4 linked regions of the Drosophila melanogaster genome follow. The protein of the gene in region 2 interacts with the protein of the main gene of each other region in a pairwise test. Each region holds a gene or a part of one and is shown on either strand. Other genes may lie near its edges. The genes, in order: Sec23, stc, CG2604 and C901.

Evidence for each region.
Region 1: the proteins of stc (region 2) and Sec23 interact in a two-hybrid assay, tested with the Drosophila melanogaster proteins (one large-scale study listed by BioGRID).
Region 3: the proteins of stc (region 2) and CG2604 interact in a two-hybrid assay, tested with the Drosophila melanogaster proteins (one large-scale study listed by BioGRID).
Region 4: the proteins of stc (region 2) and C901 interact in a two-hybrid assay, tested with the Drosophila melanogaster proteins (one large-scale study listed by BioGRID).

Annotation. Positions count from the first base shown.
Region 1 is NT_033777.3:5,646,086-5,654,491, forward strand, and holds Sec23 (secretory 23), read left to right. Parts: upstream 1-2,979; 5' UTR 2,980-3,152; exon of another isoform or gene 3,153-3,273; 5' UTR 3,274-3,296; coding exon 3,297-3,575; intron 3,576-3,634; coding exon 3,635-4,884; intron 4,885-4,946; coding exon 4,947-5,100; intron 5,101-5,168; coding exon 5,169-5,717; intron 5,718-5,895; coding exon 5,896-5,919; intron 5,920-6,295; coding exon 6,296-6,385; 3' UTR 6,386-6,544; downstream 6,545-8,406. Other genes in the region: MTA1-like (metastasis associated 1-like), read right to left, coding at 969-1,130, 2,412-2,439; elm (ethanol sensitive with low memory), read right to left, coding at 7,167-7,669.
Region 2 is NT_033779.5:15,110,283-15,119,704, forward strand, and holds stc (shuttle craft), read left to right. Parts: upstream 1-3,197; 5' UTR 3,198-3,607; coding exon 3,608-3,952; intron 3,953-4,017; coding exon 4,018-5,471; intron 5,472-5,717; coding exon 5,718-6,785; intron 6,786-6,857; coding exon 6,858-7,209; intron 7,210-7,271; coding exon 7,272-7,373; 3' UTR 7,374-7,787; downstream 7,788-9,422. Other genes in the region: CG15269 (uncharacterized protein), read left to right, coding at 1-244, 1,811-2,632. UniProt on the Drosophila melanogaster protein: Plays an essential role during the late stages of embryonic neurogenesis.
Region 3 is NT_033777.3:5,219,221-5,225,756, forward strand, and holds CG2604 (uncharacterized protein), read right to left. Parts: upstream 4,146-6,536; 5' UTR 4,030-4,145; exon of another isoform or gene 3,927-4,029; 5' UTR 3,912-3,926; coding exon 2,619-3,911; 3' UTR 2,412-2,618; downstream 1-2,411. Other genes in the region: Prosbeta2R2 (proteasome beta2 subunit-related 2), read right to left, coding at 125-216; CG1116 (uncharacterized protein), read left to right, coding at 487-635, 696-913, 979-1,250, 1,316-1,465, 1,529-2,071; CG14664 (uncharacterized protein), read left to right, coding at 4,935-5,189.
Region 4 is NC_004354.4:10,963,526-10,971,865, reverse strand, and holds C901 (C901), read left to right. Parts: upstream 1-4,731; 5' UTR 4,732-4,798; intron 4,799-5,311; 5' UTR 5,312-5,313; coding exon 5,314-5,451; intron 5,452-5,517; coding exon 5,518-5,656; intron 5,657-5,716; coding exon 5,717-5,875; intron 5,876-6,083; coding exon 6,084-6,275; intron 6,276-6,346; coding exon 6,347-6,407; intron 6,408-6,610; coding exon 6,611-6,741; intron 6,742-6,799; coding exon 6,800-7,659; 3' UTR 7,660-7,834; downstream 7,835-8,340. Other genes in the region: vex (vexed), read left to right, coding at 2,398-2,474, 2,569-3,122.

The sequences.
Region 1 (8,406 bases), on a different chromosome or scaffold from region 2:
CACTGCTCCATTCCAATCCCCTCCAGATCCCAACTTCTGACTTGAACATTTTCGTGCACACAGAGCAGCAGTGTCAGTGGGTTTGGGGTTGGGTTGGGCATGGGTATGTGTGGCAGCTTTTCAGAGGTAGACAGACTACTACTGTAGTCTACCTACAGCCGAACCAAGTATCACATTCACATTGACGTCGGCGCCGCCTAGCAGCAACCGAAAACAGCAACAACCGCATTACGGGTAGTATAGTGCAGCCCAGCTCATTACAGTCGAGCATCATTAGAGCAAACCGGTGGCACCTTAACGTATGTACATATGTATGCCTAAGGTTGAACTTAATAATTTACAGGCTATTTCCGCACCACGATGCGTGTTTATGTTCATTACCAGTTCCCAAAACACCTAGTTTCTATGACCAATATCTTTTTAGACTATTTGCTAAATGCTTTTTCTAATTTGCGACACGAATAATTCAAATTGCGCTACTGGAACGTAGATCAATGGTGCTTCTGGTTCGAAGTAGAGTGGTTACACTGCCAGTTGATGTGGCAGGTTGTTTGAAGGTTCCACTGCCTGTTTATGTGGATGAGTCGGATGCTGGACGAAATCCGTTTTCGCTCCGCCCTCACAGTTGTTGTCATTGCGGTTCTTGTTGCTCAGGAAGTTTGACTAGGATTGCGGGATGGGGTGGCACTGTGGGAGGTTGGGTGGTTCGGTGGGTGGCTTCGCTTTCCACATGCCTTGACACAGCGCACACAGTGGTGCCCCTTACGGGTTCATTTTGTTGTTGTTTTGTGGTGGGCATGTGCTTAGCAGATCTGGTCGTCAGGTTTTAACTCTTAACTTGTTTGAAGGCCACGACAACGACTCTTGGCAACATAACCTCACTTTGTTGACAATAAATATACACACTTAGAGGTAACGTAACGCAAGATATGGATGCGGTTTCGAGGGAACAGGGTTTCTCTACTCACGTTGGTGTTTGTCGGCCAATTGCACGAGCGGATTGGGCAGATCCCGGCGGCGGTAGAAGCACATGACCTTCGCTTCCACATTGCCGGTTTGGTTTTTGTTCAGCTCCTCGATGCGTCGTATTAAGTAGGGACTGTTCGGCGTTGTCTCAACGTAAACATAGTCTGAAAAAAAAACAGTTTTTGAGGTGGCTGATGCAAAAGGGTCAGAAAAGGGCATGGAAGGGTGGGGGGCTGCAACTCCATTAATACGTCACAGGTAAGCGCACACATACACCTATACACGCATCCACCTAAGTGCGACCACCACTACCAGCTAAAGCGCAATTAAATACATATGGGTCTATCCATCCATATAACTTTATACCTACAACAACTGCAGCGGAACCTGTCGTTGACTATTATAAAAAATAAAAGAAATTCCGTTTATCTGTATGTACATACATACATAGATACAAACGTCGTGTGCACTTCTGCTACATTTTGGGATGCAGATACACAGATAGATGGGTAGATAGATGAAGAGAGATGAAAAAGAAAGTGTGGAGGCAGCGAGAAAGCATTGCCGAAGGTGTGTAACTGTGTGCGTGGCCATTAAAAACGGCTAACAAAAAACGCCGATGGAGACAAAAAGTTCTCGGCGATAAAGAGCAGATAATTCGACAAGTATATATGCCATTAATATTTATTTTGATTCCGTTAATTGAAAGCTTGCGTATCCGACCGAGCTTATTTGCATTTCGAAAGAGCACACACACCCACACACTTGCGAAAATCAGGTGAAGACAACACAATAACGTCACCGCTCGAGCGCGAGCGAGATGGCTAACAGAAAGTGCGTCAGGCAGGGTGAGGAGTGGGAGGCGTGAGATGGGGGGAGATGCTCAAAAGCTCATTAGCATATGAAAACACAAAAAGGCGGGTGGGCGGTGAGCCCAAAAGTGAGATACACTTTCGCACATAGTCAAACAAACACACACGCTGGAGAGATCACAATTCGGCAAAACCAAATCCAAATGCAAATGCAATTCAGTTCCCCAGCCCTAGAATACACACACACGCATACACTTAGGGCATAAGTTAATGCTTATCGGTTGGAACACGTCGAAAACACTTGCTGCAGCTGCGACACAAGAGCAGCAGGGGGCTCCTTCAAAGAAGTTAAAAAAAATAGAAAAGGTCTCTCCTTTTCGACGGATTGTTCTTGAGATTGATAATACACGCACACACACACACATACACGTGCGTCGGGTCTCCCACTAAAGGGTTTTCGGCAATTAAAATGCACTTTCGTTATTGTTGGAAAGCCTCCTCAGACACAACACACACGCATACGCACACATTGGACACACACACACATATGCAGAAGCGAACACGCACACCGTGAAACGGCGGCGCCGATAACGAAAGATGATAGAAAAGCGAGTACGCGAAAATTTTTCTCACCTCCGACTCGATACATATTTGTGGCCATTTTCACTACGCTACCGCACCAAAACTTTCACATGCAAAACACTCGGCACACGCTTAGCACTGTTTTTCAATGGTCCTGTTCCAAACTAGCGCACATTTATTAGCAGAAAACTCGAGTTGTTATGATTGCATTTTTCACATAAGAAGACGCGTTTTTTTCGTCGCCATCTTAGAAACAACTCAACTCTAAAAAATACACGCACACACACACAATGCCGAGTAAACAGCTGCACCAGGGATGCACTCCACGGTGCGATAGTTTGGCCATCGATAGCAATCGATACATGGGGTGTTGGGTAAAAACTTAATGTTAAAATTTAGTTGGGGCGATAAGAAAAACGATAAGGGGCTTTTCTAGGAATACGATTTATATTTATTTATATTATATATACTTCTTGAATAACAATATATATCATTAAGAAAATTAACTGAAAAAATTATGGGCGAACCTTGTTTTATTTATCATTTTCAAAACATATTTATTTTCACCCTTTTTTTCTCATATTAAAACATTCATTCAATCGCATGGGGCGCATGCGATAGTATCGCTTGAAAACTGTCTTCCCTAACATGCAACGTTTGCACTTAAAATTCTGTAATAGTTCGTAGTCTAGGTTTCTACGTTTTGTACGTTTGTATAAATTGTTTCCAGAGTGAGTGCTTTGATTTGAAGAGCCTCTTAAAGACTCATCTCGCGAATTTGTTTACTTTCGCGTGAGTATTTTGGCCGTCGCCAGCACGAAAGGTGTCACGACTCGCTGTCAATCCGTGACGTGGCCTGACCGACCGATTTTTCCAATTGGCAGAGGTCTAACAGAGGTTTTTCCGATTTAAGTATTACATTTAAGTGTTCCGGCGATGACCACCTACGAGGAGTTCATCCAGCAGAACGAGGACCGCGACGGAGTGCGGCTGACGTGGAATGTGTGGCCCTCAAGTCGCATCGAAGCCAGTCGGCTGGTGGTGCCCCTAGCTTGTCTTTACCAGCCTTTGAAGGAGCGCCCCGACCTACCGCCTATTCAATATGAGCCGGTCTTGTGCACTCGCAGCAACTGCAGGGCCATCCTGAATCCACTGTGCCAGGTGGACTACCGTGCTAAGTTGTGGGTGTGCAACTTCTGTTTTCAGCGCAATCCGGTGAGCTCAATGGTGATCTTTAGACTCTCTGCGGCAGTTTATGACAGTCATTATTCCAGTTTCCCCCTCAATATGCTGCCATTTCCGAGCAGCACCAACCAGCGGAGCTGATTCCGGGATTCAGCACTATTGAGTATACTATTACACGGGCCCCCACCATGCCGCCCGTCTTCATTTTCCTGGTTGACACCTGCATGGACGAGGAGGAGCTGGACGCCCTCAAGGATTCGTTGCAAATGTCGCTAAGTCTGCTGCCAACCAACGCTCTCGTGGGTCTGATAACCTTCGGAAAAATGATACAGGTGCACGAGCTGGGCGCGGAAGGCTGCTCTAAGAGCTATGTGTTTCGTGGTACCAAGGACCTGACTGCCAAGCAGGTGCAGGATATGCTCGGAATTGGGCGTGGAGCGGCTCCGGGGCCGCAGCAACAGCAGCACCTGCCCGGCCAGCCGGCTGGAGCGGCGGCCCCTGTGCCGCCCGCCCATCGCTTCTTGCAACCGATCGGCCAGTGCGACGCGGCGCTGGGCGATCTGCTTAGCGAGTTGCAACGCGATCCTTGGCCGGTGCCGCAGGGCAAGCGTTACCTGCGCTCCACTGGTGCCGCCCTATCTATTGCGGTGGGCCTGTTGGAGTGCACTTATCCCAATACGGGCGGTCGCATTATGACCTTCGTGGGTGGCCCTTGCTCCCAGGGCCCCGGCCAGGTGGTCGACGACGAGCTGAAGCACCCGATTCGTTCGCATCACGACATCCACAAGGACAACGTGCGGTTTATGAAGAAGGCTATCAAACACTATGATGCTTTGGCATTGCGGGCAGCCACCAACGGGCATAGTGTCGACATATACTCGTGTGCCCTGGACCAAACCGGACTGCTGGAGATGAAGCAGCTATGCAACTCCACTGGCGGCCACATGGTCATGGGCGATTCGTTCAACTCATCGCTCTTCAAGCAGACATTCCAACGCGTCTTCGCACGTGATGGTCGCAACGACTTGAAGATGGCCTTCAATGCCACGCTGGAGGTGAAGTGCTCGCGCGAGTTGAAGATCTCCGGTGGCATCGGCTCGTGTGTGTCGCTGAATGTGAAGAGCCCGTCGGTGTCGGATGTGGAGATCGGCATGGGCAACACGGTGCAGTGGAAGCTGTGCACATTGAATCCCAGCTCCACCGTAGCCTACTTCTTTGAGGTGGTCAACCAGCATGCAGCCCCCATTCCGCAGGGCGGGCGTGGCTGCATACAGTTCATTACGCAGTACCAGCACCCAAGTGGACAGCGGCGAATCCGAGTTACCACACTGGCCAGAAAGTATGTGTTGGCATAAATCAGCCCAGAGTTTACTTACGTGGTTCAATCTGTTTGTTTTTCAGTTGGGCCGATGCCACCTCGAACGTGCACCACATCAGCGCTGGCTTCGATCAGGAGGCCGCCGCAGTTCTGATGGCCCGTATGGTCGTCTATCGTGCGGAGACTGACGAAGGACCCGACATTCTGCGCTGGGTCGATCGTCAGTTGATTCGTCTGGTAAGTTTTCAATGTGCAAAATTACTCGTGCCCAATTAATTAGTATTGTAAATGCTTTCCTTTTACAGTGCCAAAAGTTCGGCGAGTACTCAAAGGACGATCCCAACAGCTTCAGGCTGTCGCAAAACTTCAGCCTATTCCCGCAATTCATGTACCACCTGCGCCGCTCGCAGTTCCTGCAGGTCTTCAACAACTCGCCCGACGAGACCACATTCTATCGACACATGCTAATGCGCGAGGACCTCACCCAATCGCTGATCATGATCCAGCCTATTCTCTACAGCTACTCGTTCAACGGCCCTCCAGAACCGGTCCTCCTCGATACGGCTTCCATCCAGGCGGATCGCATCCTCCTGATGGACACGTTCTTTCAGATTCTGATTTACCACGGCGAGACCATCGCCCAGTGGAGAGCCCTCAAATACCAGGACATGCCAGAGTACGAGAACTTCAAGCAGCTGCTGCAAGCACCGGTGGACGACGCGCAAGAGATTCTTCAGACGCGCTTCCCCATGCCTCGCTACATCGATACGGAGCACGGCGGATCCCAGGCCCGCTTCCTGCTGTCCAAGGTCAATCCCTCGCAGACGCACAACAACATGTACGCCTACGGGCAGGTGAGTCTCGCAGCCAGCGCCATCAACTGGCCACATTTGATTGATCTTTGCAGCGCTCCATTTGGCGTCATCGAAAATTTAATCTCAATCGAAATCTCAATCTCGTTTTATGTTGGTTTTGTTTCTCTCATTGTATAATCCGTACCCGTATCCGTAACCGCTCCTTTGTCAATCGCAGGCGCCCATCGGTCAAGTCACGGTAGTACATATTTGTTTAATTTTCAACTTTTAAACTGGTGGAAAGGTGGATATTTGAAATTTAAGGGGCGGGTAAAAAATCTTTGGAAATTGGATATGTCCTTTGCTCTTGATAGCTATAAGTCCAAAATAAGTGTTTTGGATTTTGCAATAAATCTAAGATGGCCAACCCCACACGGCTTAATCTAAGCAAAGATTTTGTCTGTTCCTATTTTTTCATATTGTTTTTAATAATTTCAAACATGATTTATATATAAGTGGCTTTTGGTGTTGGACCCTTCTAGGTGCTTGTATCCCTTTTTCATTCATCCTCCCCTCCCCACTTGGCACGATCCCACCCACCCATCGCATGACTAATTTTCCGGACATTATCTCGACAGGATGGCGGGGCTCCAGTGCTCACGGATGACGTTTCGCTGCAGCTGTTCATGGAGCACCTCAAGAAGCTGGCTGTGTCCACCACCACATAAATCGACTCTGGCTCTAGTTTCAGGCGCTTGCTTCCCTGGCGAAGTCGAAGAAGGCGAACGACACCTGGAATCAATGGTCCAGGCAATGAAATTACGAATATACAACCACTTATTCCAATTGATCGTCTTATAACGCAATAAACTATTCAAATTATGTTCAACAATAAGTGTGTTAATCCGCGATGCTTTTATTCGTAAGCAGCTGAATTAGAATTTACGTTGAGCGGAATGAGTTTGTAATTATAAAAACAAGGCATTAACAAAATGAAATGAGCATCTCTTTCATTCTTCATAACAACTATTAATACAAGTAAATCCGACGGGTTCCTGAAACCTACAAGATTTGTAAAAATTATTTTTTTGTAATATAAGACAGCAAAAGATTTATTTATATTTTTATCATAAATATTTGATCAAATTTCCGGACGCATTTAACTTTTAGATACCAAGCAATTGGTTATATTTTTCTGTATTTCTCTAGCACCCGTGATCAAACATATGCATTTTTTGTTTAACTTGAATGAAATATCTTCGATAAGCTTTGGGCAAATTACTCAGGTTTAAAAAACTTTGCGACACTTTCATTTTCATTCATTAAATTGAAACTTCTAAATGGTTGGAAAACACAACTGGTATAATAAGAATAGCAACCACTGCTTTCAAATCATTAGAGTTTTCAGTAACCCGCCGGAATGCCTCTCGACTAACTGCATCCTAAACTATTTGGTACACACTGACTAAGAAGGTCGCTCTTTCCTCGTGATTGCCGCATCCAGCTAGCCTAGTTGAGAAACCGTATGGACATCTTCTGATCCACGTCGGTGCGGTCCAGAGCTTTGCAGAAGTCCTCGAACGAGATCTTGCCCTGGCAGCACAGGTCCGCCTCCAGGATCGTCCTCTCCGCAATGCTGACCAACTGGTCCTGGCTAATGTTCGCCCCGACCATCATGTGCAGGATGGAGAGCAGCTCGTCTCTGCTGATCACACCATCGTCATCCAGATCGTACATCTTGAAGGCGAACTTCAGCTTCTCCTCCCGGCTGTTGAGCTTACTTTGCTTGTTATCCCTCAGCGGCCGGAAGTGGGCCAGGACGTTCATGAACTGCCGGAAGTTCACCCGATCGTCGTTGCTCTCAGCGAAAAAGGAATGAACTATCCGCTCGCACAGCGGATTAATGGCCAGTTCCGGGATACGCATCAGATCCTCCCGGGACAAGGTTCCGCAATCATTGCGATCCAAGGAGGTGAAGCGCGAGTAAAGTCGCTCGATTTGGTTGGGGGTGACTGGAAAATAAAATTGATAAAAATTAACCAATCGATAATTAGTTTTGAATTAAATACAATTAAGATAGTACTAAAACATGTACATTCAACTGTAAATACCTATATGATATTAACTTTAATAAGCGATTTAACAGTCCGTCAAGTTAAATCATTTAATAAAGTTGTTTTTGTTGAACGACACTGTTCAGATAAATTACTTTTGCCATGGAAAACTCGAACGATACCTATTTACGAACAGTGTGGGCATGAGTCTAAGCCCGTTCGGAATTAGTTGCTATAAAATCTGGCTGATAAGAGCGAACGCCTTATCATCTTAGCTGATACTAGCTGGTCGAACATTGGATACAAGTTCCAATGCGGTGGCAATTTCAATTGTGCGCTTATCGCGCCCGGAATATTGAAATTACACGCTCTCGGACACTAGATAATTGCCAGCCCCAATATCGGTGATAGGCGTCGACTTTTGCCCCCACCCACCCCCGTCTCATATATACGTATATAACTATCGATGACGTCATGTGGGAAGTGCAGGTGCATTTGAAATGCAAATTGCTTTTGCTGCAAACCATCTGTCCATATACCGCTTATATAAGGCGGGCACAGATCGCTCAGACTCAGTTCTGCATAATTTGAACGGAGTTTTTTAGAACACGTACATATAGTTCGTAGATTTGGAATTTTTATAGAAATGACGAATCGAAACTAAGCGAATCCATTTTGGCAATCCATGGTCTTGG
Region 2 (9,422 bases):
CACTGGAGGAGCCGCCAGCACTAACATCTCACTGACCACCGTGACCAATCTGAGTCTGAACTCGGTCCAGGCAACGGCCGTCGGAATGATGCCCAAGATGACCGGTGGACTGATCACCACAGCCGTCGGCAGCAACAGTGGAGCAATCGGTGGTATCGGTGGATACAATGCCACATCCGCCGAGGAGATCAGCTACAAGTGCCGGATTTGCGAGAAGGTATTCGGATGCTCTGAAACTCTGCAGGTGAGATTTTATTATTGTTATTAAATTATTATTACGATGGTGTTCTGTTTACAAGTATATATCATTTATGACAACCAAAGCGTTTAGTTATCAGTTATTAGCTTTAGAAAAGATAATTCATCCTAAATATATTCCAAACTCTAACCCAAGGATTCAATTTATTCTTAAAATCCCTCAAAAACGAGTAAACACAAAACACCCACGAAACAAATTTTTATATTTATAGTGTAGACAGAATTTTAATTTTTTTTATTTCATTAGACCTTCAACTTTTAAAAAATGAAATACAAATATTCAAAAAATATATGCAATTCCCAATTAGAATTTAAGAATGAAATGATTTAGATTTGCCAGATTATATTTTATTTCAGTTTGCTGCTGTTTAGTTATAAAAAAAGCGAAACGAAATGAACGATTGTATGAAATTTTCTTATAAATTAAATAGCACAATCAAACTTATACGTAAAGTCACTTAAAGAGTTTGTACTTACACACAAGCATTTGGCAAATGCACGCGTATTTTTTTTTTTAATTATAAGTAACAAAAAAATTAATGATTTAGATCTCATCAACGGTTACGTATACATTTATCACAAAGAAATATGTGTTTATGCGGAGTACTAAATGATTGAGAATTATTATTGCAAAGCCATTAAATAACTTTAGGAATTTAACTCCTTTCAAAACATCTAAGCCAAGAACAGCATTAACCTTTCACATGGCCATACATCACATAAGATATCGTTTGGCCGGTCCTCAAAGTCCACATCCACACGAGATCCTCCCAAAACGGGTTTCTTCACCAACAGAGATACCATATGGATTTGGGCGGGGCCTAAAAAACAGAGAAACAGTAGTCTAATTGGAAGGCGGAGCTCCGAAGAAAAGAGTGGAGATTCAAGTGGAGTGGGGAAGAGAGAGGCAGCGAAGAATTGAGTGCCTTATGCAAATCTCGCAAGCAATCCGAGTTCAAAATGGAGTCGGCCGAAAACAGAAACAGAAGCGGGCAAAAAAGAGAGAACTGGTTTTACGCATGGGTGCAGCTACAAGATACGTTAGAAAGGGCCAGACGCCGAGCGAGAGGTAATCACAAAATGGCCACTTTGGGAAAGAACACCAATTTCAGTAGCTAACTGAAGCAAGCCACATTTGAAGTTGCAACAAAATTATTACAAACAATGGGGAACATTCGAATGTGTAACCATGGTATTTTTTGCATTTCTGGCTTATTTTGTATAAGTATAAATGTGTCCAAAGCTCAGTTTTCAGTAACTTTATATTCGAAATCTTCCAATCCTCACTAGAACTTATAGAATAAGGTATTAATATTAGGACCTAATTAAAATGTTGCTAAACATACTCATCTTGAAAGCCTCCCTTCCAAAAACTAACTAACTAACGAACAGTTTGTAGAAAATCGCTGTTTTATGAATTTCACAACAGATTTTCACTACCTCAGGTTTTTTATTAAAATTTTAAATCTCTTACTATTGCTACAATATTACTATTGCTAAGCTAATGTATCTTATTTATTTATCTTATTTGTCTATTATGTTCTTATTTCAGGCTCATGAAAAGACGCACAAATCGCCGCGTTACGAGTGTGCGGATTGTGGAAAGGGTTTCTCCCAGCTGCGAAATTACAAATATCACCTGTCCGTTCACCGAGGAACCAAGGAGTTTGCCGCCGAGTGTCCCGAATGTGGCAAGACATTCAACGATAAGGGATATTTGAGCAGTCACCTAAAGATTCACCGGAACCGGAAGGAGTACGAGTGTCCTTACTGTCCCAAATCGTTCAATCAGCGTGTGGCCTTCAATATGCATGTCCGGATTCATACCGGCGTGAAACCCCACAAATGCAACGAGTGCGGAAAGAGATTTTCGCGTAAAATGCTGCTCAAACAGCACATGAGGACGCACAGTGGTGAGAAACCGTATCAGTGCTCCGTGTGCGGCAAGTCCTTTGCCGATCGCAGCAACATGACCCTGCACCATCGCCTCCACTCGGGAATCAAGCCCTTCAGCTGCCCCCTGTGCCCCAAAGCCTTCACCAAAAAGCATCACCTAAAGACGCATCTGAATTACCATACAGGCTGCAAGCCGTATGTCTGCCCACATCCCAACTGCAATCAGGCATTCACCCAGTCGAGCAATATGCGAACCCACGCTAAGAAGTGTCAGTACCGTCCGTTGGATGGACTCACGGTCACATCATCCGCACTTCCAGTACCGGGAAAACAACAAACAGGTCCACCGCCCACTTTGGCCATGGCCATGGCTCAAACATTTCAAATGCCGCCACCTCCTGGAGTTCTAACACCTGGATCTGGTCCATCCCAACCGCCGAGTCAGCAAACCCTTCTCAGCAATCTCAGGACATTCTAAATGGGTGGAATCGTTGTGCCCGGCCAGTTTCAACCAAATTTGTGGCAATTACAAAGTGCAGTACTTCCACTGTTGTTATTCAATTTACATTTATTTTCAAGCAATAATTTTGCTAGAAATTAAATTAGGAATAGACATTAATTATTATTAAAATAGGCATATATATTGGCCAGTCAATAAAGTATAATATCAAATACAAAAGGATTCCAGGATTCTAGAAATAATATTTTGGATTGGAGATATGATTGGGAGTCCAACTAGGTAATTTCGCTTATAATCAGATAACGCAGCCTTATTTAATTCAAATCTTCTAGTGACAAAAATTAAAAGATGTATGTTTTTTTAGTAAACAAATGAACGAACCGTTGCAGTACATTTAACATATTTAAAAGTGCGCTCTCACTCAGCCAGATGGCGCCACCTGATAGTTTATTACCACTGTAGGTGTGTTGAGTAACTAAACGAAATCTTGCTGTTAAATTGTATTCACAGCTGTCCTAAAACCGAGTTGGCAGCCCTTTTCCCCTCAAAAATCGAAAGTCTGTTAATATATCGATAAGTCAAGGCAATTGTCAGTGGTACCGTTTCGTCTGGTATGACCGTGTTGTGAAATTTTGTTAGAAATTTACAATATAAGCGAGCATAAAAAACGCAGGAAAAGCGCAAAAAAATCAGTAAAACGTGCCTGCGGACCCAGGCTGCGGTGCGTCCAGTTGGCCGTAGAAAGCCTTTACCAAATTCGATCGAACTGAGAATTCGATTCGGTTAACTTCTGCATTGGGCTCAATTTCACCATTGCACACGTGTCTGGAGCTTTTCCTGGGTTCGGTCACCTCCTCCTCGGATTGCGGACGATCCCGTGGTAGCGCTGGGAAATGCCCAGCAGAGGACGGCGGGCAGTTCGAGATTGTTCCGGCAAAGAAGCAGGCGCAACTGCAACAGACGCTGGTCACCAACGACAGCACCGGACTCTCAATGGCTGAGTACTGGCAGCAGTTGACCAACGGCGCCGGAGAAGCGGGACCCGGCAATGAGTCATCCGCCATGGCAGACTGCAACGGAGGTCACGAATCGGCGGCAGTGGGTGGTTCCTGCAACAGGCACAGCAACAACAATTACGTGAACTTCAATCAGTTCATTATGCAGCACAATCTGGGTGGAGGAGCGCCCTCGAATGCCACCAGCACTATGCAACATCCGGTGGGCAGCAGCTACACTAACTTCTCCCTGGGCGGCGGTGGAGGAGCCTTTGGACTGAACCCACCAGTGGCATCCGCGAGTACCAGCCACTTTGCAAATGTGAGTCATCAATCTCCGAATGTATGTTTCGATATATTAGAACTTAGGTTTAGTCCTAATGAATCAACTAATAAATCACAAAACAGTTTTACTCGCAGGCCATGATCCCAACCTATCAAAATGGCGATGGCATCGCTAGAGTCACCGTCACCAGCAGCTATGGGTCGGTCAATCCGAGCAACAGCAATTTTTCGAGTTTTTACACACCTTTTGGCAATAATCCGTTTGACTTCAGCGCTTCCAAGCTGCAGGCCTCGGCTCCGGAATTCGTGCCCAATTTCGCCAAGCTGAGTCTAGAAGAGACACCGGCAGCCGCCACTACGAACGGAAACAGCACTGCCAGCCTAGAGACTGCCATAAATGAGACGAGACCTAGGACTCTGCGAGCCCAAGAACCAGCTGAACGAGGAGCTAACAACCAATGCTCGAACCATAATTACGAACGGGAGCGTGAGCGGGAACGTGACCGGGACCGGGACAGGGAAAGAGACCGGGACAGAGACAGGGACAGAGACCGGGACAGAGACCGGGACAGGGACAGGGACTCTAGACCCGGAAATACGCGACAACAACGCCGCTCCGACTATCGGGACGATCGGGAGGACCGGTACGAAAGAAGCGATCGTAGGAGGCCGCAGAAGCAGCAACGCTACGACAATCATCGCAGCAACAAACGCAGGGATGACTGGAATCGCAACAGGGACCGCATCAACGGCTTTCCCAGGGCCGTTGACGATTTGGACACGAGCAATGAGAGCGCACACCCATCGCCCGAAAAGCAGTCGCAACTGCAGCAAATCTCCCCAAGGCGAGGTCCACCGCTACCACCGGCGGATAACGAAAAACTATCGCAGCGAGAGAAACTGGTTCGCGACATCGAACAGCGCCGATTGGAGTGCCTTGTATGCGTGGAGGCGATCAAGTCGCACCAGCCAACCTGGTCGTGCAGGAACTGCTATCACATGCTGCACCTTAAGTGCACCATCACCTGGGCGAGTAGCTCCAAGTCCGAGGTGGGCTGGCGTTGTCCAGCTTGCCAGAATGTGCTGCAGGATTTGCCACGCGACTATCTCTGCTTTTGCGGCAAACTGAAAAACCCGCCGGTATCACGGACCGAATTGGCCCACAGCTGTGGCGAGGTCTGCTGCCGAATTGAGGGTTGTAGCCATGCCTGCACTCTGCTCTGTCACCCAGGCCCTTGTCCGCCGTGCCAGGCCAACGTGGTGCGCAGCTGTGGATGTGGACGCAGCACAAAAACGATGCAGTGCGCCATGAAGGAAGAGGTGCTCTGCGGCGAGATCTGCGACAAGCTGCTTAACTGTGGCGAGCATCGCTGCCAGGCGGAGTGCCACTCGGGCAAGTGCGCGGCGTGTTCCGAGCAAGTGGTGCAGCAGTGCCACTGCGGCAAGCAGGAGCGCAAGGTGCCATGCACGCGAGAATCGCAGGACAAACGCACCTATTCGTGCAAGGACAGCTGCGGTCAACCGCTTCCCTGCGGCCACCACAAGTGCAAGGACTCCTGCCACGCGGGAAGTTGTAGGTAAGAATAACTGATTCAACTCATTTATAGTATTGGTTTCATTTAAACCAATAACCCCAAAAAACGGCTCAAACTCGAAAATTGTGTTAGGTTTCTAAAATATGTGCATTAACATTAACACAAAACATCAGAATTGAATTTGGTATGAACCAATTTTATGCTAAATTATTCAGCGTTTGCAATCGTGTCTTTGTGCAGAGTACTAAGAAACTCATACAATTAAACTGATAATATGATTCTTTTCAGACCCTGCAAGCTGAGTCCCGAGCAGATAACAAGTTGTCCTTGTGGCAAAATGCCTGTACCGGCTGGCCAGCGTTCAAGCTGCCTGGACCCGATTCCCACATGCGAGGGCATCTGCTCTAGGACATTACGTTGTGGAAAGCCAGCGCATCCGCATCAATGCGGAAGCAAATGTCACTTGGGCCAGTGCCCTCCATGTCCCAAGCAGACCGGTGTAAAGTGTCGTTGCGGCCACATGGACCAAATGATAAAGTGTCGGCAGCTATGTAACAGAGCGGACGACGCCCGCTGCAAGCGACGTTGCACCAAGAAGCGCAGCTGTGGAAAGCACAAGTGCAACGTTGAGTGCTGCATCGATATAGACCACGACTGTCCACTGCCATGTAATCGAACCCTCAGTTGTGGCAAACACAAGTGCGATCAGCCGTGTCACCGCGGCAATTGTCCGCCATGCTACCGCAGCAGTTTCGAAGAGCTCTATTGCGAGTGTGGTGCCGAAGTGATCTATCCACCAGTGCCGTGTGGCACCAAGAAGCCAATCTGCAAGCTTCCTTGCTCGCGCATTCATCCATGCGATCATCCGCCGCAGCACAACTGCCATTCGGGCCCCACCTGTCCGCCCTGCATGATTTTCACGACGAAATTGTGTCACGGCAACCACGAGCTGCGCAAGACCATTCCCTGCTCGCAGCCCAACTTTAGCTGTGGCATGGCCTGTGGCAAGCCGTTGCCGTGTGGCGGGCACAAGTGTATAAAGCCGTGTCACGAGGGCCCCTGTCAGTCTGCCGGCGAGATATGCCGGCAGAGCTGCACCAAGCCACGACCGACCTGTGGTCATAAGTGTGCAGCTGCCTGTCACGAGGGAGCCTGTCCGGAAACGCCTTGCAAGGAGCTGGTGGAGGTGCAGTGCGAGTGCGGCAACCGAAAGCAGAACCGCAGCTGCCAGGAACTAGCCAGGGAGCACAGTCGTATAGCCACCATCCAGCTGGCCTCGTCCATGGCAGAGATGTCACGCGGCAACTACATGGAGCTCAGCGAAATCTTGGCTCCAGCCAAGAAATCTAATAAAACGTGAGTGGTGGTGTCTATTCAGCCGAATTTAAGTTTTCACTAGTATTAATATACGTAACATTTTGTCTTTAGTTTGGATTGCAACGACGAATGTCGTCTACTGGAGAGGAATCGTCGTCTTGCCGCGGCCCTGTCTTCTGGAAATTCCGATACAAAGCAAAAGTGTCTAACCAAGTACTCGGAGTTTGTTCGTGGCTTCGCAAAGAAGAACCCAGCGCTGACCAAGAGCGTTTACGAGACGTTGACCGACCTGGTAAAGTTGGCCAAGGAAAGCAAGCAACGGTCGAGGAGCCACTCTTTCCCCACCATGAACCGCGAAAAGAGGCAGCTGGTGCACGAGTTGTGCGAGGTATTTGGGATTGAATCGGTTTCCTATGACAAGGAGCCAAATCGCAATGTTGTTGCCACGGCCCATAAGGATAGGGTGAGTTCAACTTTGTAAAACACCAACTGAATCGCGTACTTATTTGGCTTAACTATTTGCAGTGCTGGTTCCCCGCCACGAGCATCATGGAAGTGCTGGCTCGTGAGTCCGGACAACGCCGTGTCCCGGTGCCCAGTAACAATGCTTGGGGATTGAAGAAGTAGATCAAATCCGTGTGGTATACAGAGATATTAAATATATTAAATCGTTGGCGCTGGAAAATAATAGTTAAAAATGGATAGATAATGCAAATGGAAGCCTGGATGTGGAAGACTTATTGATTGAACCTAAATGAGGAAAATTTTGTGGATGCGCTGCGAGGACAATACAGAAGGATAATTGCCGTTACCACGTATATTTTGTAAATTATAACAAATGTTAGTTGAACCCTAGAATGCTAAATGTTGAATACTTGAATATGGAGTGAACTGGATAAGCAGGCACAAATGTGAAGAATCATGTTAACCAATCTGTTGTACGATGAATTTATCCAAAAGCGAAACCTTCTGGCCACGTTGCATCTAAATACAAAGGAAAGCGATAGATGAGAAGGATAAATAAATGAGTAAATAGAGCAGAGGGCAATTATTGTGTTTTTTGTTTTAATTAATTTATTTCATGGGAGAAATTATGGATAAAAGGTCTTATAAACTTAATTTCAAATTTATGTCGCGATGGAACACAATGTCTTGTATGTTGCAGCAATTAGCTTTCAACAGTGGTCAGTATTCAGTGCTGTAAGTCGTTGTTATTTAACGGTCGCTTGTTTCAAACTGAAGTAATTTTGGAATTTACTTCGCTTAGAACAGAAATAATTTCAAATTTAAAATATAAATATATAGGACGTCATGCTTCACCATTAGATAATTAAAGTGGCGCGGAAATGAAAACAACCCAAGTGGAGGTGCTCAAGGGATATTCCACCTGCTGATCCATCCTGGTAGTCGAGGAAACTAGCAAACATCCCCCGGACTGCCCACAAGCCGAACTCGTTGCCATCTCGTTTCGGGCTATGGGCACAGGCCTCTAATTTGTTGCCATTGCCGTTGCCATTTTCACGAAAAACAATAAGCGGCGCCTGGGGAATAATGCCAAAATAAAGATGAAATGTTACGACAAGTCAGAGCGGCGAGGGATGAGAGCCCCGGATGAGGCCAACTCACGCACTCCGCCGGAACGCAATGGATGCGGGGCTTGGGCCGGATCCAGAGGCAGAACGCAAGTCGTATATGAATATAGACCTGACATAATGAGCAGCCTATAAGCGAAATGGCTGCCAGCAACCCACCAAATGCCATCCACCCACCAGCCACCACCCCCAATCATCTCAAGATGTGTGCGTAATTTGAATTTAGTCTGCCAGGGAGTTTATTAACAAATACAAGGCAATCCCCCACGTCAAGGAGGGCCGAGAATGAACGAAACAGAAAGAAAGAACGCTTTCAAGGAGAAACTGCCTCTTTAGATGGGCTGGGGAAAATAATTCCAGGGAGATTAAATTGTGGTTGGCATCTGTGGGCAGGGGGATTATTGCTCCAAAAACCGGCGAGATTGCAGGGGAAAGAGTTCATTTTGGGTCAATTGTAACCGCTGCATGTGCGTGGGAGTGTAGGTTGGATTTTATGTGTATAAAGTGTGTGCGTAATTTTAATTATGTGTTATGGCAAGAGAAAAAATTAAAAAACCAAAAAAAAAAACATATTGTTGAATAAAACTGGAATGGCAAATGTGCGGGCATATGCTATTATCGAACGATACTTGAGCCATTCAACATTCCAACAATTTCAAAATGAATGCAAGTATTTATTTATCATATATAATTTAAAACCAACACCGAATTTTAATTGTTTGAAATTACTTTTTGCGGTTAGATAAGTGTGGATTTAAATGATATTCGTAAGCTAACTTTGATGGTGTGTGAAAATATGGGCTTATGTGCTATTATTTACTGCCAATTTCGAGTGCTTGTATAGCACCAATTAATTAATGAAACCGCTTTAATATGTCACAAATGCGCAAAGTCTATTCAATTAGGTTTTTTAAATCATTTTAAATTTATAGCTACTTGTTTGGGCTTAAGTATGCATTGGATTAGTAGTTTACACGGAAATATGCTGTTAAAAATTGATATATTTCAATATACAGACATCAATTTATTTACATAACTGCCAGGTTTCCAAAACAGTTACCTCAAATTAAGGCACTCCAGTAGG
Region 3 (6,536 bases), on a different chromosome or scaffold from region 2:
AACCAACTAATTATTAACAAACGAAATGTTTTCCTTTGTCATTCGTTGAATAAGGTTGGTTTGTAAAAGGTTGGGTGTTGAATATGGCTTGCTGGCCATTAGGTGTAACTGTGTTCCAACTCACCGCAGACAATTGTCGAATGTAAATCCGCTGGGACCGCACAGAAAAGGCGATCGGTCTGGGTATTTCATCAAGGTTGGTAAGCCGTTGAACATAATGCGTGGATTTTATAAAATATAGCTGAATACTGGTTGTTCTCGTGCGCGACAGCAATGACAATGTTTCGAGCTTATACCCAAGGCCTACCTGGGATTCTGCTAGAGTAAAAAGAAAATTTAAATTCAGTAACACGACTTATCAGAGGTGGGACATTTAAAAAGTGGTTGGCGTACGCGCACGGCTGCTATCGCTATCGGCGGGCCTATCGAACAATTCCTGCAGACGGTCACTCTACGGGAGTCGCGACCAAATAAAAAAGTAAATAAATGATTGAAATTAAGGCGAAACTGCTGCGTGCGGACTCGGCCATCTACGCCACGGGCGAGAGAGTCCAGTGCCTGATCGAGTTCACCCACAAGGTGTTCTCCGACGAGCCAGCCGCGTCGCAGGCTGTCCACAATGCCAACGAAGCAAGGTGAGCCGAGCTGTTGTTAACTGTTTTTCTTCCCTTGATTCACCATGCAAAACCGACCAGAAGCCAGGAGAACCTGGCCTGGGCCTCGGCGCAGCTGCACTGCTACCGGAAAACTAGCTACTCTACATCCGCGGGCGACCGAGCCGCGGAGCTCACGGAGATGATCGGCAGGACGGCTTTGGATGCGGTGACGCAGGCGCCGGGAGAGGTGATTGTGGCCACCAAGCCCAAGATCCTCTTCTGCGACCTGCGCCTCCAGCCTGGAGAGACCAAGATGTGTGAGTGATGAGCTTGCCCTACTTCTTAGCTTTTTGGTTTTACTAACGAGCAAGTCGCCTTGCAGACTTTTTCAATGAATTCATTCCCCGCGATGGCCCACCCACGTACAGAGGCCACAACATCCGGTACTTCTACAAGATCACCATTGCTACGCAACGGGTCAAGTCCAAGGTGCAAACGCTGGCCGTTCCCATCCGGGTGTTGCCAATTCCCATAATTTCGCGGCCCGACGAACTTCCCGTAACCGTAGAGACCAACGAAGAGCTGGCGCCCACTAATCCGTTCCTGGAAAAGCGCGAGATCAGCGAGCTTGAGATATCGTGGCACCACCTTAAGGCAAGGAAATCTAGATCCCATAAGCAGCTGTACCTTGTCAATGTCCTCTGCTCTGTGTCTTTCAGAACGTAACCGCTCGGCGGGCGCCGAAGTTCTACCGCATCTCGAACAAACGCGGCTTCGTTGGCCGCTTTTGTTTGTTCAAGCCAGCGTATAAGCTCGGTGAGGACATTGTGGGCAGCCTGGACTTTGATCCCGGCGTTAACCCCCGAAAGGTTGGTGATTTTTTTTGTCATTACTCATAATGCGCTTTCTAAAATCCTACTGCATCTTACCAGGTGCGCTGCGTCCAGTTTTCGGTAAAGCTGCAGCAGCAGGAGCTTTCCATCCGACCGCAACCAGTGCAAAATCACCAGCTGCAGTCGCAATCCTCGACGGGCGATGATGTCTCCTCGATGAACTCCTTTGATATGGCCAGCATAGCTAGCGGAGTGTTGGCAGATAACCTCCACAAGTCGGCCACATCGGCTAGCTCAAAGGTTAAGGAGGCGCCTGAGCCAACCGGGAAACTTTCGACCATTTCCACCTCCCACCAAGTGTGCTACGCAACGCTGCAGACCCAGGTCGTGGTACCCATTCCGCTGCACGTAACACCCACATTCCGCACAGACCTCGTCGACGTGCGATGGCGATTGCATTTCGAGTTTGTGACCACAACTTTGATTGACTTTGGCATTCCGAATCCGGAGTCCGGCGAGCTAAAAGCACCGTCTGAAATGCCCGTGGAGACGATGGTATGGAATCTGCCCGTGACCGTCTACGCTGCGAATCCTCTCCAGATTTATGCTCCAAACCAGACATTCAACCTGCTTATAAAGTAATAGCACTTCAGTTAACTGTGTTCTCTTGATGGAAGTAAGTAGTAAGAAGTATTGTATTAATATATTGGAGAACTAATCCAAAGGGTTTCTCACTTTTAAGGCTATATAAGGCCGTTTAGAAAGAGCAAACGAAAGCAACAAGTCGATTACGGTTCCTTTTAAAAACTTCTGAAACCCAATCCCCTCTTACGTCTTTGTAAAATACAAAAATCTTAATTAAAATTTAGTCGAATATACGAATCAAACCGCTTGAAATCAGAAAGTCATGTTCATAGCGACTTGCACCTGGCGATGTTAGCCAAGATAATATTTACATTTTAAGGTAGGAAAATCTGTTTTTCGCATCTTAATTTATTCTGAGGTGCAAAATTCACTGAATTAGATCTAACCCGTTTCGCCTGGACTTTGAAATCGGCAACAACAGCAGCGGATGTGGGGGTTAGTTTAATAAGTGCTTATATAATTACAGTTCAAACCGCGAGTAACAAACAGCCAAGTAAGGTGATTAAAAGAGAGCCGCTGGGAGGGAGAAGTGCGATTCTGGACATTACTTGTTGGCCAGAATCTCAAACTTGATGCCGTGGTCGTGCTTCTCCAACTCGCTAATTAGTCCGGTCTTAGAGAAGGCGGCAGCTGGAGGCAGCACTCCGCCTGTGCTGGGCATCTTGTCCGACTCACGAAGAATGGTCAGTGCCGCTGAGAGCACAGCCACGCAGGTGGCTCCATATCCGGGATTCATGCCCGATACGCGGACCATCAGCGTCTTGGTCGGGGACTCCGTGTATTGGTTTGAACTCTCGGCCAGGCGATCGCTCTTAAGCCAGCCACTGGCCTTAAAAGTCATCTTGAAATAGGTGCGCTCCATTGACTCCTCACTTGGGCCGGAACGAGAGGCCAATCCGCCGGAGAAGAGACCGGGGTAATTGAGCAGCAGCGTACGTCCCAGCTTGAACTTTGACAGCAGACCGAAGATGGTGGCAAAAAAGATGACACCGCCGGCGACCAGCCAAGACGAAAATCCCACGTAGGCCTGCATCTGGACCGGACGTTTCTTGTCCTGGTCGTAGAGGAAGCGCTGGGACCTCATTACCACCGAGCGGTCGGAGCCGGGAAAAGGTAGACACACCTTGTCAACCTCGGTAGAGCGGAAGACCAGCGGTCGTGGCTTGAGAAAGGGATAGAATCTTGGCAGTCTCTGGGGATAGATCTGCTTCCGGATGCCGCGCAGCTCGTCAGAGTGAGCTAGCCCGTAAACGGCGCTCTCCCAGGTTCCGTAGTTGAGGCCGGCAGTGCCTCCGCCACTGCCGCCTTCTTTGATTCCGGTCTCCAGGAAGGTCTCCACGGAGTTCACCACGCCGTCGAAGTTTTTTTCCACAAAGACGACGCCCATGTCGGCGGGTATGGAGTCAAAGCCGCAGGCGCTGACCACGTACACGCCCTTTTCCCTGGCCAGCTGATCGTACCTCAGCTGCATGGTCTCCATGTACTGGGGCTCGCCGCTAACATCCACATGGTGCGTGCCCGATTCGATGCAGCACTTCACGACGTTTTCGCCGTGAAAGCGGTAGGGTCCTGCCGTGTTCACCACAATCCGGCACTTTTTCGCCATCTCAAGCAGGGAGGCCTGGTCGTTGACGTCCGCGATGAAGATGGGCACCTGCGAGAGGTCCTTCTTGGCCTTGGCGCCCATCTCCTTCAACACCGCCTCCAGCTTCTCGCGGTTCCTGCCAGCGATGCCCCATCGCAAGCCGCGCAGCACCGTGACCGCCTCGAAGACCGTGTACTTGCCGGTGAAGCCACTGGCCCCAAAGATAATCACATCCAGTCGATCGCCAGACATTTCGCCGTAAGTCGCCTTCAAAGATTCGATGTCAGATTGCGCGATATTGCGATATCACTGGAATCGCAGCTGCGACTTAGCACGCTGTATGGTATGGAGTAGATAAACGACCGCTCACCTGTATCGCTGTCTACTGATTCCGCCTACTGAGCTGCTAATCGGCGTTCTTATTCAGTTAATTCAAATACACATGCATCGTGTACGTATGTAGGTGGAAAATCCAACCGGCCAAAGTCGAAGCTCTTCTGAATGGAGTTAGGGGTATTCCTGCAAGCGTCTAATGGCCCGACTTCACTGATTCTAAGGATTGAAGGAGTGTTTTCACCGTCTGAAATTTGTTTGAGTCTGGCTGTGAATGGTCAATTCGATTTATTTGTGATCTTTTGTGACTATGACTCAAAAATGTCATTCAGTGGGAGAGCTATCAGTGAGCTTAATGAAATTAACAGATTAACTTTCTAAATTAGTCTAATCACTTGTGATAGAATGCTTATGTAAGCGTTCCCCTGCCATGCCATTGGATGCATTCAAAATACGAAATATCTATGTCGGAATCACTATACCTATTCTATTTAATTTACTCTGCAAGATGTAGGGAGGATGAAATACGATTCGTTTCTTGGTCAGAGGGTGGAAACTCTGCCTCATAACTTTATGAGCTGTTAAGATTCGAATTGAAGGAGATTTTCGCTTTGTCTTTTTCTTTATACTTGTCGTTCAAAACTTGTGCTATGTACATCAATTACAATTACAAAATGAACATTTTGATATCACATTTTGAAGTGTGAGCTTCGAACTGAAGACTGTGGCCATTAACATTCCGCACGCCAATTCCAGTTATTCAAAATAACGATACTGCCTAACCGGTTGAACGGACACGAGCAGAGCAGATGCGGTAAGCCAATTGCAGATCAATCACCCGATGCTTGGGGAAGGTAAGAGACTTCCGGAATTTCCTGGATAAGTATAAAGTGTGAAGCTAACAGTGGGACACCAGCATTCTCCAAGCTGCATCAACTCAAAATGAGGCTGCATCTTATACCACTGGTTGGACTCCTTGCACTGATTATGGCCCAATCCCAAGTACTCCTACCGGGACTTCGCGTGCGACAGGTTCCCGTGCTCGAAATGGGCCAGATTCCAGTGGTGCAGTACCTGGACGCGGCCTCCACAGTCACTCCAGAGCTGGTAAAGGATCAGTTCAGCAGGCGATTCACTACGCTGGCCAAACCCTTGGTCAGTGGTGCTGCTCCCCAAACCAGTCTCCCAAATTTGTAATTTATTGTTACCGCCTAAGAGTCCATTTGATAAGCGAATATATACATAAATATTAAAGTTACGTCTTTATGCCATTAACTCTAGTTGCTAAATAACCTTGTAACCTACTTTAAATTGTACTTAATCTATTAAGAAAGAACTTTAAAATCGGGTAAAATTACCAACACGCACAGTTGGTGGTATGCATACACATTTTAATATCGAATAGAAACAAAATATTCCCAACATCCTGACCTTTAAACAAGAGAATATCAGGATCCTCGAATATTAGAGCAACAAAATTGGTCACGATTAAGACCACAGAAGTTTGTGTTAACGTGGGATCTTAAATTGACTACAATAGCTCGAATTTAAAAATAAATTGTGCCTAATCTTATAGAGTATTGAAATCGCGTTAGTAATTATAAGGACTGCCCGTTTACGTGCTGGCTAATAATATAAATATTTCGAAAAAGTCATATATCCAGTACCAGTCCTTCTGGCAGAGCCACCTGTTCTTCCAGTCGAATTTGGACAACGTCTGACTGTGACGCAGTTCACCAACGAGACTTCTTCGAACGACTTGTTACTGCAAGACTGCTCCATGGTGCAAGACTTGCGATATTTTATGTCGAGTTTATTCATTCGGATTATATGGATCTCTCTGAAGTTCTCTGACTATCGCGTAAATGACAATTAGAACAACTAGAAACCATCGACAAAGGAAGAAACCAATATCCAAGCGATGAGCTTTAGAAATTGTGTAATTCCAACAGCTCAGATAAGTTGGCTAACTTGGCTGTTATGCAAGTTAAAGTATCTGATACTCGCCATCGGTCGCTTGCTACCATGGAATCATCTGCTAGATCAGACACGATGATCCTGCATCTCGTTTGATCCTGCAAGCGGGATACAACGAAACAGCACCCCAAGCTCGGTGGTGGAGAAAACGAAAGACACGATTCGAGAAACTACAACCCATCCACCGAAGTTGGGCAATCTAGCCCACAATCGAAGCGGATGGTTAAACTGCAGCATTATCTAGCTTACCCGAGGACAATAGCACACTGGGAGCCATAAGAAAGAACTCTCCAATGCCAGGAAAACTTCGAGCATTCATCCATTTTCACGAATTGGTGGTGGTGCAATACTGCAATATTGCTAGTTATTTAAACATTATTTATTATTATCTTAAAATACATACACGCTTACGTAATAAATTCAAAACACTAATGCCTTAGTCATTACTTTTGGGGAAATCGATTAAATGGGGACAACCGTTTGAAGTACAATAAGTAAACCTAATTGGTAAATTATATTTGTAGCTTTTCAATGGATTTAACGGATTAAAATTAAAATTAGTAAAAT
Region 4 (8,340 bases), on a different chromosome or scaffold from region 2:
ACATTCCACATTTGGACAATTATTTTTATTGCTATTGAGAAAATACTGATTATTTTTTAGCAAAAAATAAAATTTCCCAAAAAACGGATATTTACATGCGGGGTTTTCTCCATAACTTGGTCAAACAATATATCACCGCTAAAATAAAGACTGTTTTGTACTGCCAATAAGCATAGCTAACTATCCCTATCACTATTTTTATGACTCCAAAAAATCAAAATTTTGACAAATTTTCGCATTTTCGATAAGGGGCATCATCAAAATTTGCAAAAAATGGCAAAAAATTAGAATTTCCAACTTTGAATACAGGTCGATAGGGAATTTTGTAACGAATTCAACGAGGTATGACATTCCACTTTTGGACAACTATTTTTATTGCTATTGAGAAAATACTGATTATTTTTTAGCAAAAAATAAAATAATATTATGGCTAAAAATCGGATATTAAAAAACGGTGTTTTCTTCATAACTTGGCTTATTTACTTTAAAATAAAACCAGTTTTGAGCTGCTAATAACAAAGCTAAATATCAATGTTACTGGCAATCATAAAAATTTGCGAGAATTTTATAAATATTTTAAACGCAACTCACATTTTCACAAGTGCAAGATGTTTAGTTTAGTCGAGCAATAGTCTAAAGATTAACATACCTTAACATTTAAAAACTAATTATGAATTGTTTCATAAAAAGGCCTCGAATGAAATTCAACTGAATGTGGTAAATTGTTGATGGGACAGAATGACCGACTGACTGAATGAACTTAATTCGTTTTTACTTAGCTCCATTAACGCGCTCAATCAAATATTTTCTTTGATGTGTGACTTTAAAATGATTATAATGTTTCAATTATTTGTAATTGAATTACTGTGCTTTTGCATTTTTTGATTTGTGTGCACTTTAAAAGGTTAATCAGTTAATAAATTAAAAATTCTGAGCTTTGTGGTTCATTTTACATTTTATCCCTTCATTATCCGTTTATCGCTGACAACTCGTCACATTTTTTTTTTTTTATAAATCAGTGGGCTTTTAGAGCGAATTTTTAGCCAAGACCGCCTTCCTGGAACTGGCTAATAATAAGTGGCTATTCCTTCGCTCACCGCAAGCCAAGCATAACAATTGCTTTTTATTTTATGATTGCCGTGGCTGTAGGACCTCGTCCTGCTGCTGATTTTGCCTCCGTTTCCTGGCCAGACAAATACCCCCGGCCCAAAAATTGCTTGTCTTTAATTATGTTTTGGTCCTCGAGTTTTGTGCATTGCCTTGTTTATTTTTATTACTCGGCGCGTCGTCGGCGCCTGTTTATTTACATTAATTTTTTCAATTTACCTTTATTACCCGGGCGCAGAGGGTCCTTCGGTTCGCTTTATGCCGGGACTTAATTAAGCTTTCAGCTGTTTCCCCTGCGCCTCGCACAATCTCCAATGGCGACTCCCATTTTAATACAAATTCTCTTTATTTATGACTCGGCATTGGGGGGGGGGAGTCTTGTTTTCTGCGGTCTGAGTGCGACGTCAATTTCCATTTCCGCTGCATCCTGGCTAATCTGCCTTCATCATTGGAGCAGCAGCAGCAGCAGCAGCAGCAGCCAGCGTATATTAGCTATATATGGCTATATCCACGAGTTTCCCCTCTTTTTTATTTTTGCCCTGGGGTTAAGTGGCCTGGCTTTCCGGTGGGTGGGAAAGTGGTAGGTAAAATCAAAAATGCCCCAAAATGTCGGGCACTTTTGAAATTTCCTACGCAATTTCCGTTGTCAACACCTTGACAGCTGTCAGACGCACACACAGACACTCTCGACACTCTTGCACACTTACACACGCACACCCGCACACCACACACTCAAAGGCACTTGTCAGTTCGATTTTTCGCCTGCCATGTTTGTTTTTGCTCTTTTTTGCCTAACGGAAACGGAAATTGTTAGGCTTAATAGACAATTCGCATTTCCTCTTCCTTTGAAGTCCTGTATTCAGCAGCCCGCTTCAGTCCGCACAATTGCACAAATCAGTGCTCCTGCTGCTGTTTCTGTCTACTTTGCGTCCGTTGATGGAATCTGAATCTGAATTACAATAATTGTAATATTTAACATCTCAATGGCCAGCCAGATCCTTTGCTCCTCTAATGAGGCGTCACCGAAGGACATGCATAATCAATGAAGGACCAAACGGACGAATGAATCGCTCAATGAGCGACTGAATGAGTGAATACCCAAATAAGCGAGCGTTTCGAAGGCGTAGGATGCAGATTATGAGGATGGATTAATTAATTAAGCATTATTTAGCCAGTGAAACCGATTTCATCTTTAAATCTATTTGAATGTTTTGCAAATTATTAAGATATTCGCATCTCTTCTTTGTATAATTATTAATAATTTGCGCTATTCTTAAACTTTCTTTATAGATACTGCGTGGAATTCGAGGTAATAAAATCATCTAAAGCCTGCAACAAGTTGCCGCCATATAACCTGATGACAGAAGGTAAGAAAAATCAAAGTAACTAAAGTAGTATTTAATATTTATGCAATCAAATGTGTAAAATAATATTTTGACTGTCTTGTGTTTTATTTTCCAGGCGATCGCATCACGGTGCGCTGTGACCTTGAGGCATTGATCCAAGACTCAGCCGGCAGCTCCACCACCGCCAGGACACCACAAGGACCCACTACGCCGTCCACGACCACAGTTTCATCCGCAGCCTCTGCCTTTGGCCAGCGTACGGATGACCTTGAGGAGGAGCGACTGCAGCGTGAGACCAGCAGCGAAGAGGAGGCGACCAATCAGGATGGCGAGGCGGAGGAGGAGGATGAGGAGCCGGAGCAGGATGAGCAGGATGACCTGCAGAATGCCCTGGACTCGGACAGCAACGAGAGTACCGACTACCGTCACCAGCGGCAGTCGCAGATGTCGCAAATGTCGCACAGCCGCCGGACAGCGGGAAAGCGCAGCGCTGTGCCGGCCACGCCCTCGCCCACGCTGCCGCCCACCTACCATTGCCGGGGGGAGGGGCTGGCCGGACGCACGACACGTTGGAGCGCGCTGCCGGCGCCGTCGTGCCGCGGCAAATGGCTCCGTCTGACCGTCGGTCCGCCCAAGAAGTGCGGCCACGCCCAGTTCATCTTCGTCTAAGGCGACGTGGTCATGCCGCCCACTCAAGTTGCGGTGTCCATTTTTTTTTTTCTCCGTGTAGGTTATGGTGTACGGTCTCCCCCACTCATCATATCATATCATATCACCCGCGCCCCTGCCACGCCCCCTCACTTCCGGCCCAAAATCAATAAAGTACCCCATCGTATGTAAGCGTTTAAACATTAAGCCAGTGGATTAAGAAGATCATAGCATATGTATGTATATGTATGTGTGATGAGGTCAGGATTTTTTTTTTTGTTTGTCTCGCTAGAGAAGAGAACCGGAAATAAAGGATACACTGCCAGTGAAATATAGGGTATATATGGAGGAATATCACATATTTCTGAAGTTTTCGAGGGGTTCTACAATTTCGGACTACTAACTTCTGCTCTCTTAGATACTTTATAAATTTAAAAAAAAACTTCCAAAGACTTATGATCTCCTCCACACACATGATATTCATCATATAACCATATTGATATCACGGCTGCTGTGGACTTCCTTCGGTTAGCATTTCTCTAATTAGTTAAGGAAACACTCGCGTGTAAGCATTTGGGCTCAGGACCCAATCAACAACTCAATATAAATGCTGGGGGTCTGTGAAGACGCTCGGATCTCGGATCGGATAATACTAGAAACTAGAGACTAAGTCATCAAATACCGCATAACATCTACAGTGAAAATGGAGTCGAGCTGCGTAGTGAAAGAACCTATATATACATGTATGTGGATGTGCACGAGTGTATCTGTCTAATCGTTAGTTCCCCCCGACTCGCAAGCATATAGCACACACACGTTCTACACATAACATAACATATATGATACATTTGTCAAAAGCAAATGATTAAGGCCCACAATTTTTGGTTACCCAACTGGCAGACAACCCTCTGGAGTCGGAATTAACGTTTGGATCTTAGTATTAATCTGGATTTTAGGTACACACGAATGTCGAAATAATTATTATAATTATAATTAAACCAATAATGAGATCATTCAATAAAGAACGAGTATAATTTTAAAGTAAACCAATGTTGTCTTTGAACATTTACCAATCTAGAGTCTTGAGCCATCCTGGTTTATCTACAACTTGTTTGGTGACTCGATCGTCAGTGCTGCACAGTGGGTCGAAAGTAATTGTAAAATAAAATAAAATAAATAGTTTTTGGGCATATAAAAAGAAACATTTAATAGTTAATGCTATTAAAGCATTTAATAGATTGGATATGTAGGCATATAGATCTTTATAGTATAATTACATTATTAATTTAAAATTGTTTCAGATTTTATTTATTTCCTGATTTTGTGGTACAAGTTTTCCTAGTTTTCTTCTTTTTCAAAGTGTAGAGTGGTCCATAAAAACCATATCTGGACCCACTGTGCTTGAGTACTCAGCTGTTTTGGGTTTACCGGTTGACCCAATTACCACCAATGGTCGGTTAGGTGCCTTTCAGCGCTCTTTCTCTGGCTTTGCCTCTCGGCTTCGAGGCTTGAGTTCACGGTGAAGGCCAGAAGAATGACAGAGAGAAGAGCGAAGACTTGACTTGACTTGACTTAAAGAAAGAGTCGAGAATCGGCCAGAGGCAGCTGGTCCGACGAGGCGGCTACTTGATTAGTCCCAAAGCGATCGCAGACCGAGACGGACCGACGACAAGAAGCTGCAGTCTTAACCGTTAAAAGTAATTCTTTTGCATTTGCATTCTTCAAGTTTCATTTCTTCTCGCCAGTGGTGATTCATCAAGAAATCGGTTGTTTGGTTGTCGGGTTCTCTGTCGGCGGTGTGATTCCCGTTCTTTTTGGTTCGGCCGCGAAGAAAGTTGTCTTCAAACATGTTAATTGCGACGAGGGGCCGTGGGCCGTCGATTTCTTTTAACGGTCTAAGTTTGGCCAAACGAAAACACTTTTCGTTTAAGCCGATAATCGAAAACATCTAGACATTTGACAAGGCCTACACTTAGGTTTTCTTTATTCAGTCATAAAGTTCAGCACATTAAGTTGGTTTAAAGTCTAAGAAACTTTTTTTGTGAAGAGGTCGTTAGATCCGACTTAGATGATCTTGCTTTTTATGTACACATAAAAGCCATTATTTGCAGGGAATTTTAACGGAGTAGTCAAACGTATAATATTAATAATATTATATTTATTAATAGAAACAACAAACACTTATTATATTATTATTAAATCGGACTTAGATATGTTGTCAGACAAAAAGGCGGCTCTCCTGCTGGTGACCGCGATTACCGCCCTCAAATTGGAGGAAATGAATGCCTATAGACGCAACTTCGATGCGCGGCAAAGTAGTAATTCGAATATTCCACTCTGGAAACAGCGAGTAAGTTGGAGAACCTAACGTTCATAATTTTCTCGAACCAATTCCGAAAATATTCGATTACCTAAGGCCTGTGAGAAATCACAGAAACAGCGGCAAAATGCACACTATGTTTGCGATGAAAAAGGTGACTTCAAGTGCCTTCCTGGGTGGCAGGGTGATCTTTGCCAGGTGCCTATGTGTCGAAGGGGCTGTGACCCGATGAATGGTATGTTTACTCCTTCAGATGATTCCCTATCTTGTGACCCCTGAACTCACATTCACACAGGTTATTGCCAGCGACCCGGTGAATGCAGGTGTCGCATCGGATACAGCGGCGAACTCTGCGACAAGTGCATTCCGCTTCCAGGTTGCCAACATGGCGGATGCACCAAGCCATTCGAGTGCATCTGTAAGCCTGGCTGGGCGGGACTCTTCTGCACGGAACGTAAGTAGTTACCGGAAAAGGATAAGCCTGATTACAATCTTACATTTAAAGAACGGAGCATTTAGAGAAGGAGTTAAAACATAGGGAACTAATATCGTTTTGGGGGTTGTACTTGTTATATGACATTTCCAATCAAATCAAACATTCCTAACTCTGTCCAATCCGATTACTCAATTGCCTGTTTCCTCCAATCCGCGCGCAACCAAAGCAAGTTGCCGTACCGGATGCCACAGCACCCGTGGATATTGCGAAGCGCCTGGGGAGTGCCGCTGCCGGATTGGTTATGCTGGACGCACCTGCTCCGAATGCGCCACGATGCCGGGCTGTCAGCACGGCACCTGCAACAAGCCACTGGAATGCCTCTGCCTACCCGGATATACCGGACTACTTTGCCAGACGCGTAAGTCCTGCAACCACCAAAGGAATCCGCCATTCACCCTACTAATCCCAAACTCCATTCCGCCATTCCAGCAATCTGTGACCCAGATTGCAGCAAGCAGCACGGATATTGCCGCAAACCTGGCGAGTGCCGGTAAGTAGGAGCAGCATTTCAATAAAGAAAATGCAGAAAATGTGGTTTCGGCAAGCTGGAGTGCCCCTTTTCGGATAAGTCAACTATTTTTATCCTTAATTTAACATTCCCAAGCATTATGGCTCAGTTAGCTAACAGCAAACTAACAGCAAAACGAACCCATATCTGTCATCAATTTTCACGGACATCCCCTTCTTCTCCAGCTGCAAGGTGGGCTGGACGGGTAGCCAGTGCGACAAGTGCTTCCCGTATCCGGGATGTGCCAATGGGGATTGCGAGGCGCCATGGGAGTGCAACTGCCATCCCGGCTGGGGCGGAATGCTGTGCGACGAGAGTGAGTATATCCGTATATGTGACCATGCCAACGGGAAATTGACCGAGTTGACCCACAGAGCTCACCTACTGCGTGGAGCATCCGGATACGTGCGAAAACGGGGGCAAGTGCACATCGCTGAGTCGCGAGGATGGGAGCTACCAGTGCCAGTGCCGGCAGGGATTTCTGGGCAAGAACTGCGAGATACGCGATGACTTTCTGCTGACCTCAGAGGCGCCACCGCGAATCACACCGCCCACACCCGCTGAGCTCGTACTGGAACTAGATGGCGAACTGGACCAGAACGGGCAGCAGGACATCGGTGCAGGTGTGCCCGATGACAGCGAGCCAGGAGGCGGGCTGGTTGGAGAAAAGTTGCCAGCGGGTAACGAGCCGGAGCGGCGGAAAAATGACACGGTAGCCAACGTGGCAACCGCAGGAACTGGAGCTGGAGCAGGACCCATGAATTCACTACCCGGCAACAGCAACGCCACAAGGACGACATTGGTGGTGGCAACTGAAACTGGCAGCGACAATGCGACTAATGAAGCGTTAAGCGCCGTTACAACGAGGCGTGCCACCCCGATTCCCCTCACATCTGGCGAAAAAACCGTAAAGGGTAATGCAACAAGCGTGTCGGTAGCGACAGGACCTCAGCCACGCCCCCCGCTGCCCATCGTCGCTAGCCAGGAGCAAACAATAGCAAATTTGGCGCCAGCTGGAACAGTAACAGTAACAGCAACAACAGCACCAACGGCTACAACAGCCGCAACATCCGTGACCAGCCACAAGGATAAGCCAAATGTGGCAGACGAGGAGGAGGACGAAGATGACGACGATGATGAGGAGGATGAGGATGGCGAGTACGATGAGGAGGAGGATGAGGACGAGGACGACGAGGAGGATGACAGCGATCAACTCATACCAAATATTATATAGTTAAGAACCTGACAAATGACAAGTAATCCCTCTTATATATATATACACATTGTTCAGTTAAGGGCCCACATATGCAGCATCTCAAAGCAATTTTTTTTTTTTTCTGAATATTTATTATTAACTAATGAATGAAACATCCAATTAAAAAACTCCATCCATTGCGATAGATATACATATATAAATTGTATTTATTTATGATAATTTTAGGGATTAAGCTAAGCAATTTTCGATTTAACAAATGTCAAAAAAAAAAAATGATATTATTAAAGTTTGCTAATCTTAAGTGCTACAAGAAATCGTTGAATCGAAATATGAATAGGGGACCAGAGGATTGGACTCAGAGCCTGTGGGAGTTCAATTCCTGCACTCGGATTGCACTTGGTTCGCTTAAACTTAAGACAAATGGGGGACTACGAGCTCGGGTTTGAATGGGGATCTATATGGCCATCTTAGCGCCACCGAGTTGGGGGTAGTACGATTGGATTGGGTATCGAAAATTGGAATATGGAAACCAGCACATCATAGACATCTAAACATACATATGGACTCTTGCATATGGGCGTTAATAAATATATGTAGTAACTGGTATGGGAGACTTACGAATCGACAAAAAAATATGTAGAAGTATGGGAGAGAGAGAGAATGACTCAATACAATATCGATACGAATAATAATAATAAT